Linked DNA regions of Lonchura striata. The protein of the gene in region 1 interacts with the protein of each later gene in a biochemical or structural test. Links are inferred from orthologs where the notes say so. Each region holds a gene or a part of one and is shown in the gene's direction. Other genes may lie near its edges.

Region 1 (7,926 bases):
GGAGCACCTTTCTCATACTCTTACAAGGAAAACAGAGTCCTCCTCATGAGCAAATGTTTAATTGAAACCTGGAAGCAAATTTCTCCAGACATTTTAAGTTAAATCTATATTTTTGAGGTTTTAGTTTTTTACTAGAATCATTGAATTGCTGTATTATAACAGCAAATTATCCAAAAGGAGTTACTTTAGGAATATGGTTGTGATCTGCTGACACAAATATCTCTTATGAGCATAAAACTATTGTACAGACAGCAATGACTTGTCTCACAGTGCTTTAGCAATGCAACATAATTTCTTTTTTATAAATTAGTAAAATGAGACAGAGCTCAGTGACTCCAGTGACCCACAGGAAGTCAGTGACACAACCAGGAATAGAAGCAAGACCTCTCAGCAGCTCAGTCCCATGCTTTAACCACAACCCAGCCACCTCCTTCCCATCTCAGATTAGCACAACCCCGAGCCTTGGTTGCATCAGCTCCTCATTTCAGATGTCTAAGCATGTATAATTGTAGAAATCTGGATTTCTGAAGTTAAGTTACGTTCATAAATCTGTCTTAGCTCAATCACCCAAGAAATTTGGATAAACTGGTTCTAAATGAGGCTCAAAATGATCTCTTGGTTGCTTTAAAAGGATTCCTTCAGAAATGAATTTTGGATGGATTAACATCTGACAGATACCAGTATGTGCTTGAGCTCCTTATTCCTATATTTTCTTTTACCTGCTAACTGTCTGTGATGTGCAATTGGGGCCCATTTAATCAGAATGCAATATCATATTCAACCACAGAAGAGCCAGACAGTCCTAGAGAGGAAGTTATTCCCTCCAAGATGAAATCAAAGTTAAGAGTTGGGGGGAGTCTGGAGGTCAGGAAGAAAACCATTACAATTTAGAGGTAGGCAGGCTGGTGTGATCTTGGCTTTCATGAATTTAAAGCAGACAAGGTTTGGATTTTTTTCTCTTTTTATCCAAGCCTCGAAGTTCAGGCAAAGGAGGCTCATTTTTAAGGGGTTCTTGTTTTGACCCGCTCTGCAGTTATCTGTGAAAAATCTGCATCGTGCCTGCCTCTATCCCTCCTGCTGGATCCCGGGAGAAACTCACCCAGCACAATCCTGTACTCAAGGAATGCAGTTTATACCCCAGGTTTTGCCATATATCTGTGTAAAATGCTACTGATAGCAGCTGAAACTCTGAATTCCCTTCAAGTAAAGAGTGTGCAAGCTGTAGATAGGAGTGTGGTGTGATATTATGACTTACTTTTTAAAAACATGCCTTGCCAGACCAAAAGCTGCCAGTAAAGACAGAATGAGATATGCTGAGGCAAATAAGATATGCTTTTTTATCAATAAAAGGACACCAGATATATGAATTAAAATATTGCATTGCCCAAGAGAAAGAACACGGGGTAACTTTAAAAAAAGGCAGCAATACAGGACATTTTTAACCTTTTTAAACTCCATTCCTTTAAAGCAATGCAATTTGCACAATCAGAACTTGCTGCTCAGGCTGTCAGACTTCTGGCTGCACTCTCAGAGCAGGAGATTGCCCTCTAGATGTTAAAGGTTTGGCTACTTCTCCATTCCATCCCACAGCACCAGCATAGGACACACTGCAAGATTTTAAACTTGAGTAATGCAGCCAGAGACTGAGCCCAAACCCAGGGGAAACATAAAAAGTCAGTAAAAGAAGGAATTTGTGTCTTTGCAGAGATGGGAAGGAGTAGAAATCCTTGCAAGGCTGCCACTCTTTTCAAGCCAATTGTAAAACTCACAGCATCACCTCCAATAAATTAGTTTTTCTAGCCATAAACACCTACCTGGAATTCCTTAGAAATTGTTGCACAGAAATTCCTTCACCAAGATGGAAAAGAGAAATGAAACCACTCAGGGGAGGTTATTTTGTCATTGCTAACACCCTTATCCATCTGGAGATTCCACAGAGTACTCATTTCAGTTTCTCATCTCAGTGAGAACTATTTTTGCCATATGATTCAATTTCATCTACTTCGAATTTTCTGAATAATTGAAACACATAATGTACAGTCAGTCAGTCATAACTGCAAGCAGAAATAATTTTTTTCAGATGCAATAAATGCTTCAAAAAGACTCACCACGAAAAATGGGCTGATTAAAGTTAGTTTAAAATGCAGTTCTTTCAGATGAAAGGAATTAACTGATGCCTTTATACCCAACAAGAAAAACAGAGTATAATTGATCTTGTGTGAAGGCAAATTATCTTCTAATTTTAAAACCAGAACTGATGCTGAGAGAGTCTTTTCTGCTTCTCTTTGAACTTAGGGGAGAACTGCCCATGGATCAGCAAGGCCTGAGCCTGACATTTCACTCTTGTTTCATAACTCTGAGAGCTCCCAGCCAAGCTTAGGAATCCTCACAGATAAGGAGGGGAGAAAGTCTGGATCATCAAAAACTGCACAGTCAAACAATGCAAACAAAAACTTATGAGAAGCTGATAAATGTCTTTATTATGACCATTTCATTACAGTATAAAGCAACTTGATTACAGAATAGATAATATATTTGTAGTCTGTAGTATTTCTTTACCAATACAGAAATGATTGGCTTTCTCTGAGAAAAAAAAAAAAAAAATCCACTCTTTGTTAAGGAAAAAAAGAAAAACAAAAAACAAAAAACAGATTAATTCAAATTATAAATAAGGCATACTTTTAATTACCAGAGAAAATGTATGGGCTCTTCATCTTGTCATTCTTCAAACTAAGATTAGCTGTCCAAAAGAAACATTTAATGAGATATTAAATCCTAACTAGAAATCCGTGTTAAGCAGGAAATCAGACTAAAGGATCTTTTCCTTTCCTGTCTCAATCTGCTAAAATGCATATTTACAAAATCTAAGTAATTTTTACGTAAGTTATCGTTCTGGTTTTGCTTTATGAGTTCTGTTCAAAAGGTGAACTCAGTAAAGAAAATAATGCTTAGAACAAAAATAGACTGATAGTGTATTTGTAATATTCCTGTGAAAGCTGTGTTTGGCTGGTTTCTCTGGACTGACTTAGAGATATCTGTCTCACCCATACAATTTAATAAAAATCCAAACTGTGCTTTGTATTTCTGCCTTTATTAAAAGCCTGGGCTCAAAGCAGGACTGCACAGTTCCAACTGGATGTTATCAATACCTTCCAATTTTTGGAATGCTTCCAGTTGAGCGGAGTTTGAAAACGTTTGCAGGTTAAATTTTAGGGAGGGATCCCAAAGGTTTGATTTTTGGGGAGGGATCCCCTTTTTTCAGACATTTAAGCTAAATGGGGAATTCTCCAGCAGCAGAGCAGCAGTTCTGTTCTCACCAGGGCTAAATCAGAACTCTGTGAGGGTCCAGCTCAGATCCTTCTCCTTTTAATTTTCTGTTGAAATTCTACTTCAGCTCTTGCAGTACAGTGGTAAAAATACTAGTAACCAAGGTATTTTAAACCTCTTTGTTAAGATTGTTTTGCCCACATTTGCCTCTTTGTTCATCCATGGTAATTCTGAGGGTTTGTTTTACTTGTTTGCAGGACCTGGCTTCTAATTCTGAGCCAGGGTATTACTGGAATAGGTTATTACTGCAGTATGTTAAAATAATTTTTAAAATACCCAACCCAAACAATAAAAAAGAACCACTTAAAAAAAATATTTCCACATTTCCAAGGCGAAAAAAAATTCAGATGAAAGGGAAAAAGCAGGAATTGAAAGAAAAAATCCTTGATCTGTCAAGACAGAGGTAACACCTCAAGCCTATACAAATAGACAGATAATTCTCATAAAAATTAAGACAAGGCTTCAAGCCTCTGCAGACAGAGAGATTGTTCTCATAAACAAAAGGCTGGAGGCAAAGTTAGTATCTGTAGGTAGTCCAGGTATTTTGACGTGTTCAACCCTAATCTATAAATTGCCTTCAGTATACAAATAATAAAGCAAATGTGGGCTCTCTTTCAAAATGCTTGATGACTAAGAATAATGAGGCAAATTTGGGATCCTCTCAGCCTTCCAGTGATGTCCAAGGGATCAGGAGTTTTTCAAGATAAACTGTTGTATCCCGGGGCACCTGGAGTTCCAGGATGACTCTCTAAAGCCTGTTGATCTTATGCCTTTTTTTTCCACATCTAACTTCTTTTTCAAAGCCTCAGAGGCTGAGATAGAGGAGGTGACAAGCTTGTTTGGGCTTGCTGCCTCTGGAGAGGTACCGAGCACAGCCTATAGCGCTCGGCTCTGCATTCCTGGGAGGGGGGAAGAGCGCCCAGAGATAATCTCAAGCGAAAAAAAAAAAAAAAAAAAAAGAAAGAAAAAAAAGTGAAAAAGAATTCGCTTTACCTCCGTTAGTGCTAAGAACCTTTTCAGAAAAGCCTTTACTCCTGTCACAGCAGGACACAGCCTGACGTGAGGCGACCCAGCCAAGCAGGCAGCGCAGAGCGGAGCTGGCTGCAGCATGGCAAGGCAAAAGAGAAAGCAGCCGGCAGGCGGAAAAAGTGAATTTTCAGTTACGGGAGATTACGGGGAGCAGAGATCAAACTCCAGCTGCGCTGCGGGGCCGCGCTCTGCCCTCGGCCACACGCGGCTGCTCCGGCTCCGCGGCCGGGCCGGGCCGGCCGGGCGGCCTGAGGGGACAGCGGGGCACGAGCGGCTCCTCCTCCTCCTCCTCTCACTGCCCCGCTGCCTCTCCCGGCCCGCTCCTCTGCGCCATCCCTGCGGCCGCCCCCGGTCCCCATCCCCATCCGCTCCCCGTCCCTTTCCCTGCCCGGCCCCGCTCGCCGTGGGCCGGCGGAGGCGGCGCCGGGGGGAGGCGGGCCCTGCCCGGGAGGCCGGGCCGAGCGGGGGAGTTTATCCCGCTGGAAGGGAACGGCAGCTCCCGCTGAGAACTGACAGCGCCGGGGCAGTGCGGCTGCGGGCACCGGCCCCGAGGTGAGGGCGGCGCGGGGCTCAGGGAGCCGCGGGCAGCGCGGGCAGCGCGGGCAGGGCCGCCGGGGTGCGGGGTGCGGGGATGCCTGGGTGCGGAGTGCCGGGGTGCGGGGTGCGGGGTGCGGGGTGCCGGAGTGCCGGAGTGCGGTGTGCCGGGGTGCGGGGTGCCGGAGTGCCGGAGTGCGGGGTGCGGGGTGCCGGGGTGCGGGATGCGGGGTGCGGAGTGCCGGGGTGCGGGGTGCGGGGGTGCCGGGATGCGGGGTGCGGGGGTGCCGGGATGCGGGGTGCGGGGTGCCGGGATGCCGGGGTGCGGGGTGCGGGGGTGCCGGGATGCGGGATGCGGGGTGACGACGTGCCGCGCTCCGGCCGGGGCAGCCCGGGCGCTGTGTCCATGGTGCTGCAGCGGGTGGCGGCGGAGGATGCTCGGCGGCGGAGGGGCGATGTCCCGCCCGCAGAGCCGGAGGTGATGGGGAGCGCGGATGGATGGGTGGATGCGCTGCGCGCCGTCCATCCCTGCCGCCCGTGCGGGAAGCTCCGCCAGGGCAGTGCTGAGCTCACCTGGCTGCTCTCGTAATGAATGAACAGCACCTTTTTTTTTCCCCCCTCAATTTCCCAATCGCAGAAAGTCGGGGAGCCTCTCACAGCCTGCAACAACTGAGATGCTATGTTGAAATATATTGTGTCTTGATGGCATGCCTCAGGTTCGCAGGAGCGTTTTGTAATCTTCCTGGTGTCATTTCTCCCCAGGGTATTCTGCAGCTAGAGAGTGCAAGTTCCTGTGGTGTTGTAACTTTGTGGCCCCGTGTACACACGACAATACTATGCTGACTTAACAGGGATGCGTTCATTAATATTAGTGATGTAAGGCTGGTATTTCTTGTGATCAAAAGCTCAGGGAATTACCAATTTCTGGATGTCCTTTGGAGTTTAGGTTCCTTTAAATCAGATGGATTGGTTTTAATTCTCCTTGAAATAACCAGGGGTTTGGATTTAGATTTGTGACTTGCTGTCCCATCTGTGAACAAGCTTTTGCTGTAGAGCACTGTTACAATGTTCCATTTAAAAATATCTATTTTCTGGTAGCAATTAGTCTATCATTTAATAAGTAATTTACCTTTTAAAAGGTTACTATGATTTGTTACTAGTTAACCAAAAATTCCCAGTGTACACCAAGCAATTGTGACATGATACTGAGTGCTCGCCTTTGAAAAGAAGTTTCATATGGTGTGCTCTCCTTAATAGCAGAATTTGGTGCATCAAGTGATGTGTTTGACATCATTATTCACTTTGGCTGTCACAAAAAAAAAAAATTGCTGCAAAAATTGCTGAGAGATTTAATTATGAGATTACAAGAAATCACTCCTAGCAGTGTGTTAAGGCATGTGGCACAATATAAGCATGGGCTTGTCAAGGGGAGAGAGAGCTGAAAAAAAATAGTTGGCACTGACTTTGAATGATAACCAATCAGAAATATAATATAAGGTATTTTTACACAGGCAGCTTTTGAATTTGAATGTTTTTAGGCATCAGTTTTGTAAAATATCTCACTAACTTGTAGTGGTTCAGAGATTCTGTACTTCTAAACAGCCTTAAGATGGTCTGTGTTTCTTAGAAATGCCAAAATCCTGGATAATGCAATGTATTTAACATCAGCATTCAATGAAACTTCCATTAGAACACAGAATATACAACTAATACATTTTTCTGATATAAATTTGTTTTGTATAATGAATCCTGAAATGAAGGCGGTGATATATTAGAATTTAGTTGAAGGATATTGAAGCTAAGCCTTTTAACCTTCCTTATGGGACTGATAAATGCACCCCTTATCAGCAGTGCTTTTGAATCTGACTCTTTTGTGAACTTTTAAAATAACCGTAAGTCCATTTCTAAGTTGATAAATTTAGGCATTGTTTCAATTACTTTTAGTGTAATCTCCTCCTTATAGTAATGGCTAATAAAATGAATTTTGAAAACAATTTTATTGTAAAAACAAGAAAAAATTAAAAGTAGAATGAAAAATCTGTCTTGTACAAAGGTGGACCAAATAATGAAAAGTAAAATTAATACTTTTTTTCACCTTGATTGGTGAGGACAACTTCAGGTTTTTTTAAATGTAATCTGCTCAGAGTGGAGTTGAATATCTTTCCTAGCCCTTTTCAGTAGCCTAATAGTGAATCAGTAATTGTGTCTATTTGATATTCAGAATCTGTGTTTCTTTTACAAGCTTTTTGACGAGGATTATTCCCATAATAATCACGCAGTAAAAGTTTCCAGTGCAGTTACTCAAGAGGAATCATCCTACAATTACAAATTCTCCATGAGTCTTTTGAAGTCTTGGATAAAATATTTTCCATTAGTTATTGCTACTAGGTTCATTTTTTAATCACTAATAGGTTTATTAAATCCAGCATGATGTTAGATGATAAGTGCTAATTATTTCATTCTGTATTTCTAGTTTTTTAACAGCAGGATCTGGTTTTCAGGTACTTTATGCCAAATGTTCTCTGTGTGTCAGCTCACTTTTTGTGAACAAGAGGAAGAGTTAGAAACAATCAAAAGCAAGAGAACATTGATGTACTCAAGTCCCACTCCTCACAAACGGGAGCTGGGGGTTCCCAGTAAGAGATCAATTTAAAGGACTTCATTTACAGAGTACCTGGGGAGAAAATCTCCTCCTTGCCCCGGCTTTTTCCCTGTGGGGGCTTTTCCAAGGCAGAATGAAAAATGGAAAAGCCGTAAGATTTGTCTTTGGATTGATATGAACCATCAATTGATTCCTACATTAAATGATAAACCTTTTCTATTTCTTTTGTCTATTCCCCCTTCCACTTTTTATTTTCCACAAAGGGAAGATCCCAGGGAGTTTTTCCAGTTGTGCTTTCTTTTAAATGTAGGGTAGTCCACTTTTCCCAGAGGTGCTGCTTTCAGGTTCCAGGGACAACGTAGAAAATGCTGGTGCTAAGCAAATTATCACCCTGGTACTCAGCCCTGTGGTGAGTGGGCTTGGGATACTCCCAA
Region 2 (8,020 bases), on another chromosome or scaffold:
CAGGAAATCAATGGGAACTGAAGCTCCAGGGACCCCAGATCACCCCCAGCCCCCCAAAACCACCCCGCAGCCCCCCGAAGCCCACCCTGGTGGGGCAGGTAGCGGAAGTCGAGCGGCGCGCTGCGCTGCCGGTCCGAGGGCCGCTGCAGCTCCATGCGCACGGTGACGGGCGCGCGCAGCGCGGGGTCCCGGAACGGCGGCGTGCGGAACACGATGGCGACCTGGCGGTGAACGTCGGCCTGCGCGAAGGAGCCCTTGGCCTCCCAGCCCTCGGCCGAGAAACGCACCTCGATGTCCTCTGCGGGCACGGGGACACAGTGGGGACACGCGGGGGACACGGACACGGGGACATGGGCATGGACATGGGGACAGAGACACGGGGACGCTGCAGGGACAGGGACACGGGGACAGGGATGGGGACATGGACACAGGAACATGGGCATGGACATGGACATGGGGATGGGGACATGCTGGGGACACCCCGGGGACACCACAGGGACACGGGGACACGGACATGGGGACAGGGACATGGGGGCAGAGACACAGGGATGGGGACAGGGACACGGACACGGGGACAGGGACAGGGACACGGGGACAGGGACAGGTGACAGCGACAGGAACAAAGCCGGGGGACACAGACACCGATATCGCCCTGTTTGGGACATCCCAGCTTTGGGGTGTCCCAGGTTTTGGGGTGTCCCAGGTTTTGGGGTGTCCGAGGTTTGGGGTGTCCCAGCTTTGGGGTGTCCCGGGTTTGGGGTGTCCCGTTTTTCGGCTGTCCCATTTTTGGGGTGCCCCATTTTTGGGGTGCCCCGTTTCGGGCTGTCCCCGTTTTCAGGGTGCCCCGTTTTCAGGGTGCCCCGTTTTTGGGGTGCCCCGTTTCGGGCTGTCCCCATCCCGGGGTGCCCCCTGACCTTTCTGGACCTTGTCACACAGCAGGAAGATCTCGTCCCCGCCCCGGCAGCTCCCGGAGTTGCGGTTCACGCGGCAGATCCGGAGCTCGGCCGTGCTGGGGGCACCTGGGGACAGCGCGGGGCCGCCGTGGGTCCCGGGCCACCCTCGGGTGTCCCCAGGTGTCCCTTGGGTGTCCCAGGGACGTCCCAGGGATGTCCCACATGGGTCTCAGGGATGTCCCCCAGGTGTCCCCAGTGTCCCCAGCTGTCCCCTGGTGTCCCTCAGCTGTCCCCAATGTCCCCCAGGTGTCCCCAATGTCCCCCCGGTGTCCCAGGTGTCACTCAGGTGTCCCCAGGTGTCCCAGGTGTCCCCAGCTGTCCCCGTGTCCCCGTGTCCCACTCACGGTTGTCGTAGATGGGCTGGGACAGGACGGGGGGGAGGGGCTGCAGCCCCCCCGGGCCCCTCACCCACACCTGGAAGCAGAGCCGGACCGCGGCCAGGTCGTACTCGCCCCCGCGCTGCTCCGCCGGCACTGCCCGGTGCAGACCAGTGAGAACCGGTATAAACCAGTACAGACCAGTATAAACCAGTACAGACCAGTACAGACCAGTGTAAACCAGTATAGACCAGTATATACCAGTACAAACCACTAACATACCCAGGTACCCCCAGTGACACCCCCAGGTCATACTCGCCCCTGCGCTGCTCCCCTGGCACTGCCCAGTACAGACCAGTACAGACCAGTGACGCCCCCAGCACTGTCCTCAGTGACCTCCCAGTAATACCCAATCACTCCCAGTTCCCTCCCAGTAACTCCCAGTCCCTCCCAGTTCCCTCCCAGTCCCTCCCAGTTCCCTCCCAGTTGCTCCCAGTTCCCTCCCAGTCCCTCCCAGTCACTCCCAGTTCCCTCCCAATCGCTCCCAGTTCCCTCCCAGTCCTTCCCAGTTCCCCCCCAGTTCCCTCCCAGTCCCTCCCAGTCCCTCCCAGTCACTCCCAGTTCCCTCCCAATCGCTCCCAGTTCCCTCCCAGTCCTTCCCAGTTCCCTCCCAGTTCCCCCCAGTTCCCTCCCAGTCCCTCCCAGTCCCTCCCAGTTCCCTCCCAGTTCCCCCCAGTTCCCTCCCAGTCCCTCCCAGTTCCCCCCCAGTTCCCTCCCAGTCCCTCCCAGTCCCTCCCAGTTCCCCCCCAGTTCCCTCCCAGTTCCCTCCCAGTTCCCCCCAGTTCCCTCCCAGTCCCTCCCAGTCTCTCCCAGTGCTCCCAGTACCGTTGAAGGGGTTGTTGTTGGTGCGGATCCGCTCGGCCACGGCCGCCTCCAGCTCCCGCTTCTTCACGCACTGGATCCCCAAATTCTGGAAACTGCCCCCAAAACTGGGCTGGCTCAGGGCTCCACCTGGATTTTGGGATCCCCCCGAACATTCCGGGGCAGGGATCCCGAATTTTGGGGGTTCCCAGGACTCTTGGCAGGGTCCCGTATTTTGGGCGTCGCCCCCCGTTTTTGGGTGGTCCCACCCGCCCCGGAGGGAGATCCCCAGTATTTTGGGAGATACCACCTGCTCTTCTGGGGGGGTTCCCAAATCTTGGGTGCTCCCACCGCCCCATGGGGGTGTCTCCCGGTTTTGGGGGTGTCCCTGATTTTGGGGGACATCCCAGTTTTGGGGTGTGCCCCCAGCCTGAGGGATGTCCACAGTTTTTGGGGGATGTCCCCGGTTTTTGGGGGGCTGACCCGGGTTTTGGGGCTGTCCCAGTTTTTGGGGGGGGGGATATCCCGTTTTTTTGGGGGATATCCCAGTTTTTGGGGGATGTCCTGGATTTTGGAGCTGTCCCCGGATTTTGGGGTTCTCCCCGGTTTTTGGGGATGTCCCAGTTTTTGGGGGAGGATATCCCGGATTTCAGAATTGTGCCGGATTTTGGGGTTGTCCCAGATTTCGGGGCTGTCCCAAATTTCAGGGTTGTCCCTGGTTTTAGGGATATCCCAGTTTTTGGCGGGGGATGTCCCAGTTTTTGGGTGATATCCCGATTTCGGGGTCCCGTCCTGGTCTGGGTTCCTGTCCCGGATTTCGGGGCTGTCCCGATTTTGGGGTCCCATCCCGATTTCGGGGCTGTCCCGGTTTTTGGGGGGGACATCCGGGTTGGGGTCCCACCTGTGCACGCTGCGCTCGGGGCTCAGCTCGGCCTCGTAGAAGCCGTCCCGGCAGTCCTTGCCCACCAGCTCGTGGGGGTGCGGGCGGTGCGGGGGGTCCTTGGTCACCAGCGACACCCGCACGCGCCCCGGGCCCCGGTAGTTGTTCACCTGCGGGACCGGTTTGGACTGGTCAGCACTGGTTTGGACTGGTCAGCACTGGTCTGAGCTGGGGGGCTCACGGGGATGCTGCAGTGGGGCTGGGGGAGAGGGTGCTGAGCCCCCCCGGCCAGGGATGGGAGAGCCGGGGAGATCAGGGGGGGTCCCAGGCTGTTACTGGTCCATATTGGGATGTACTGGGACACTCACGCGGATGGTGGGGCGCACTGGGGGGGCTCAGGGGGGCACTGGGTGGTTACTGGTCATTACTGGTTTGTACTGGGACACTCACACGGATGGTGGGGTGCCTCCGGGTGCTCTCGCTGCTGTGCTCCCTGGGGCTGGGGGCACTGGGGGGGCTCTGGGGGGCTCTGGGGGGGCACTGAGGGGTCCCAGGCTGTTACTGGTCCATACTGGTTTGTACTGGGACACTCACGCGGATGGTGGGGTGCGTCCGGGTGCTCTCGCTGCTGTGCTCCCCGGGGCTGGGGGCACTGGGGGGGCTCTGGGGGGCTCTGGGGGGGCACTGAGGGGTCCCAGGCTGTTACTGGTCCATACTGGTTTGTACTGGGACACTCACGCGGATGGTGGGGTGCGTCCGGGTGCTCTCGCTGCTGTGCTCCCTGGGGCTGGGGGCACTGGGGGGGCACTGGGGGGGCACTGAGGGGTCCCAGGCTGTTACTGGTCCATACTGGTTTGTACTGGGACACTCACGCGGATGGTGGGGTGCGTCCGGGTGCTCTCGCTGCTGTGCTCCCCGGGGATGCTCCCGGCCGAGCGCCCCTCGCACTTGTAGCGGAACCTCATCCCGCGCTGCCGCGGCTGCTCCAGGATCTCCACGAACGGCGCCGCCCCCCCCGCCTCTGGGGGGGCACGGGGGTCCCGGGGGGTCCCGTCAGCCCCTCCGCACCCCCCCCCCACCCCCGGGACCCCCGGGGGACCCCCCCCCGCCCACCCGGCCCCACTCACCTGGAGCGCCCCAGTCCTGCAGCAGGAAGGGCAGGAGGTCTGGGGGGGTCACTGGGGGGCAAAGGGGAGGGGGTCGATTTAATGGGGGGGGTCGCATTAATGGGGGGGGTCGCATTAATGGGGGGGTCACATTAATGGGGGGATTCACATTAATGGGGGGTCGCATTAATGGGGGGGTCGCATTAGTGGGGGGGTCGCATTAATGGGGGGGTCACATTAATGGGGGGTCACATTAATGAAGGGGGTCGCATTAATGGGGGGGTGGCATTAATGGGGGGGTCGCATTAATGGGGGGGTCGCATTAATGGGGGGGGTCGCATTAATGGGGGGGTGGCATTAATGGGGGGGTGGCATTAATGGGGGGGGTCGCATTAATGGGGGGGTCACCTAAAGGAGGGGTCACATAAGGGGGTGTCACATTAAGGGGGGTTCGCATTAACGGGAGGGGTCACTTTAACGGGGGCGGGGGTCTTCCCCCAAAACCCCCTCCCCCTTTAAACCCGCCCCCCCCCCCTTAAAGGGCCCGCACCCTCCGCTCACCCCGCGACGTCACTCGGGGCGGAACGGTCCCAAAACCGCCGCGGGGGGGGTCAGCACTCACCGTCCTCCATGGCGGGGGTCGGGGGGTCCCGGGGGTCCCGGGGGGGTCCCGGGGGGGTCCCGGGGGCAGCGGGAAGGGCGGGGGGGGGGCCCCGCTCGCGCCGCCGCTGGCGGAAGCGCCGCGCCCCACGTGACGCGGCTGCCGGGAAAGCCCCGCCCCCTCCCGCGAGCGCTCCCGCCAACCGGGGGGCGGGGCGCAGGCGCGGAGGGGGCGGGGCCGCGTCCCGGAAGCGCGTCGGGCCGGCCGGAAGCGAAGGCCGGGAGGAGAATGGCGGAGGTGGGGAGCGGGCGGGGGGGGGCAGCGCGGAGGGGGCTCGGGGAGCCGCCCGAGGGGCTCCGGGAGCCTCCGGACGGGTTCGGGGACCCCCCGAACCCCCCGCGGGGGTTTTGGGGCCCCGCCGGCCCTGACGAGGCCCCGCCCCCGCAGGGGGAGGTGTCCGAGGGCTGCCGCCTGCCCGTGCTGCGCCGGAACCAGGACAACGAGGATGAGTGGCGTGAGCGGGGCGGGGCTCAGCGCGGGGGCAGCCAATCAGGGCGCGGGGGCGGGGCTAAGGGAAAGGGCGGGAAGCGGCGGGGGCGGGGCCTCCTGAGGGGGCGGGGCCTGGCCCGGGGGGGTCGGGGGTCCTGGGGGGTTTGGGGTTCATGAGGGGGTCCTGGGGGGTTTGGGGTTCATGAGGGGGTCCCGGGGGAATTTGGGATCCCTGAGGGGGTCACTGGGTGGGTTGGGGTCCCTGAGGGGATCCCTGGGTGGGTTTGGGGGTCCCTGGGTGGGTTTGGGGGTCCCTGGGTGGGTTTAGGGTCCCTGAGGGGGTCCCTGGGGGGTTTGGGGGTCCCAGGAGGGTTTGGCAGTCCTAAGTGGGTTTGGGGGTCCCTGGGTGGGTCTGGGGGTCCCTGAAGGGATCCCTGGGTGGGTTTGGAGTGCCTGGGTGGATGTTGGGGGTCCCAGGGGGGTTTGGGGGTCCCAGGGGGGTTTGGGGGTCCCAGGAGGGGCTGTGTGGTGACCCCCACCCCCCCGGTTTCAGCGCTGGCCGAGATCCTGAGCGTGAAGGACATCAGCGGCAGGAAACTCTTCTACGTGCACTACATCGACTGTGAGCGCGACACGGACACGGGACACGGGGACAGGGACACGGGGGGACACGGGGACGGGGACACAGACACGGGACAGGGACACAGACACGGGGACACGGGGGGACACGGGGACAGGGACACAGGGACATGGGGGACACTGGGATGGACACTGGGGTGGCACTGGGATGGACACTGGGATGGGCACTGGGGTGGTCACTGGGGTGGCATTGGGGTGGACACTGGGATGGACACTGGGGTGGCATTCTGGTGGACACTGGGGTGGCATTGGGGTGGACGCTGGGCTGGCAATGGGCTGGCACTGGCCTGGCACTGCCACCCCCCGTGCCAGCCCGCCATGTCCCCGCTGTCCCCAGTTAACAAGCGCCTGGACGAGTGGGTGACCCACGACCGGCTGGACCTCAAGAGGGTCCAGGTGCCCCGCAAGGAGGCCAAGACGCCCACCAAGAACGGCCTGCCCGGCTCCCGGCCCGGCTCCCCCGACAGGGACCCGGTGAGCCCCGGGACACGGGGACACGGGGGGACCTGGGGGGACACCTGGAGGGGACACAGAGACCTGGTGATGGATACGGGGACATGGGGGGACACTGGGGACACTTGGTGACACGGGGAGGGGATGGGGGGAAACGGGGGATGAGGAACAGCGGGAGGTCGGGTGACATTGAGGGGACACCGGACGGACAGAGGGGTCTGGGGACAGGGGACACGGAAGGGACAGGGCTGAGGAGGGGGTGGGACAGGGACAGAGTTTGGGGACACGGGCGAGGGACACCAAGGGACAGGGCAAGGACAGGGGCCAGCCTCGGGGACCGAGCACTGAGGGGACACACGGGGGGGACACGGGACAGGGGACACGTGGAGCCGCTGGGGACAGACCTGGAGTCCCCAAACCCCCTGGTGACGGGGACACTCGCCCCCCACAGCAGGGACGTCCCCTGGGGGGTGGTGACATCCCCAGGACACACCCAGGGGCCACCCCGGACCCTTGGGGACATCCCCAGCCCCTTTAGGGGACCCTGGGGACATTTCTGACCCCTTTAAGGGACCTTGGGGACACCCTCGACCCCTTGGGGACACCTGCAGCTCCTGTAGGGGACCTTGGGGACATCCCCAGGCACTCTCTGGGGACCTTGGGGACATCTCTGACCCCTTGGGGCCACCCCTGACCCCTCTAAGGGGACCCTGGGGCCACCCCTGACCCCTTGGGGACACCCCTGACCCCTTGGGGACACCCTTGACCCCTCTAAGGGGACCCTGGGGACACCCCTGACCCCTTGGGGACACCCCTGACCCCTTGGGGACACCCTTGACCCCTCTAAGGGGACCCTGGGGACACCCCTGACCCCTTGGGGACACCCCTGACCCCTCTAAGGGGACCTTGGGGCCACCCCCGACCCCTGGATGCCACCCTGTCCCCCTTCAGGAGCCCTTGGGGCCACCAAGGGCCGTCCCCGGGAGGGGTCCCGGGGTGGCGGGAGGGTCCCCGAGCCGCGGTGGCTCCGTCCCCTGCGCGTGCCCCTAAACCCTCCTCTTCCTCCCGGCGCAGAGGAAGAGCCTGGAGCTGGCGCTGCCGGTGGCCCCCGCCAGCGGGAAGAGTTTGCCGGGGCCACCGGGGCCAGCGGCGGGGCCACCGGGGCCAGCGGGGCCAGCGGGGCCAGCGGGGCCAGCGGGGCCGGGGCCCATCACGCTCCGCTTGCACCTGCCCAAGGAGAGCGAGGCCGAGCCCCCCCAGCGCCCCACGGTAACCCCCGATGGCCCCGGCGGCCCCAGGGTCCCCAAATGTCCCCAAACGGCCCCAGGGTCCCCAAATGTCACCAGGGTCACCAAATGTCACCAGGGTCACCAAATGTCACCAGGGTCCCCAAATGTCCCCAAACGGCCCCAGGGTCCCCAAATGTCACCAGGGTCCCCAAATGTCACCCAGGTCCCCGAACGTCCCCAGGATCCCCAATGGCCCCAAATTTCACCAAATGTCCTCAATGGCCCCAAATGTCCCCAAATATCCCAAATGTCCCCAAATGTCCCCAGGGTCCCCAGCTGGCACCAAAAGTGGCCCCGGAGGTGGTCCCTGGCAGGTCCCGGTTTTGTCACCCTGTCCCTGTCCCCGGGGTGTCCCCTGAGCCTCCCCTTCCTCGGGCCTACTGGGATGGACTGGGGGGGACTGGGATGGACTGGGATGTTCTGGGGGGGGAC

What was found.
Region 2: the proteins of PPARG (region 1) and KAT5 form a complex in vitro, tested with the Homo sapiens proteins (2 studies listed by BioGRID, with this or other methods). The link is inferred for Lonchura striata from reciprocal best matches to the Homo sapiens genes PPARG and KAT5.

What each region holds. Positions count from the first base shown.
Region 1 is NC_134614.1:4,878,556-4,886,481, reverse strand, and holds the start of PPARG (peroxisome proliferator-activated receptor gamma), read left to right. Parts: upstream 1-4,841; 5' UTR 4,842-4,908; intron 4,909-7,926. UniProt on the Homo sapiens protein: Nuclear receptor that binds peroxisome proliferators such as hypolipidemic drugs and fatty acids.
Region 2 is NC_134638.1:281,771-289,790, forward strand, and holds the start of KAT5 (histone acetyltransferase KAT5), read left to right. Parts: upstream 1-4,964; 5' UTR 4,965-5,006; coding exon 5,007-5,015; intron 5,016-5,165; coding exon 5,166-5,232; intron 5,233-5,760; coding exon 5,761-5,829; intron 5,830-6,183; coding exon 6,184-6,320; intron 6,321-8,020. UniProt on the Homo sapiens protein: Catalytic subunit of the NuA4 histone acetyltransferase complex, a multiprotein complex involved in transcriptional activation of select genes principally by acetylation of nucleosomal histones H2A and H4.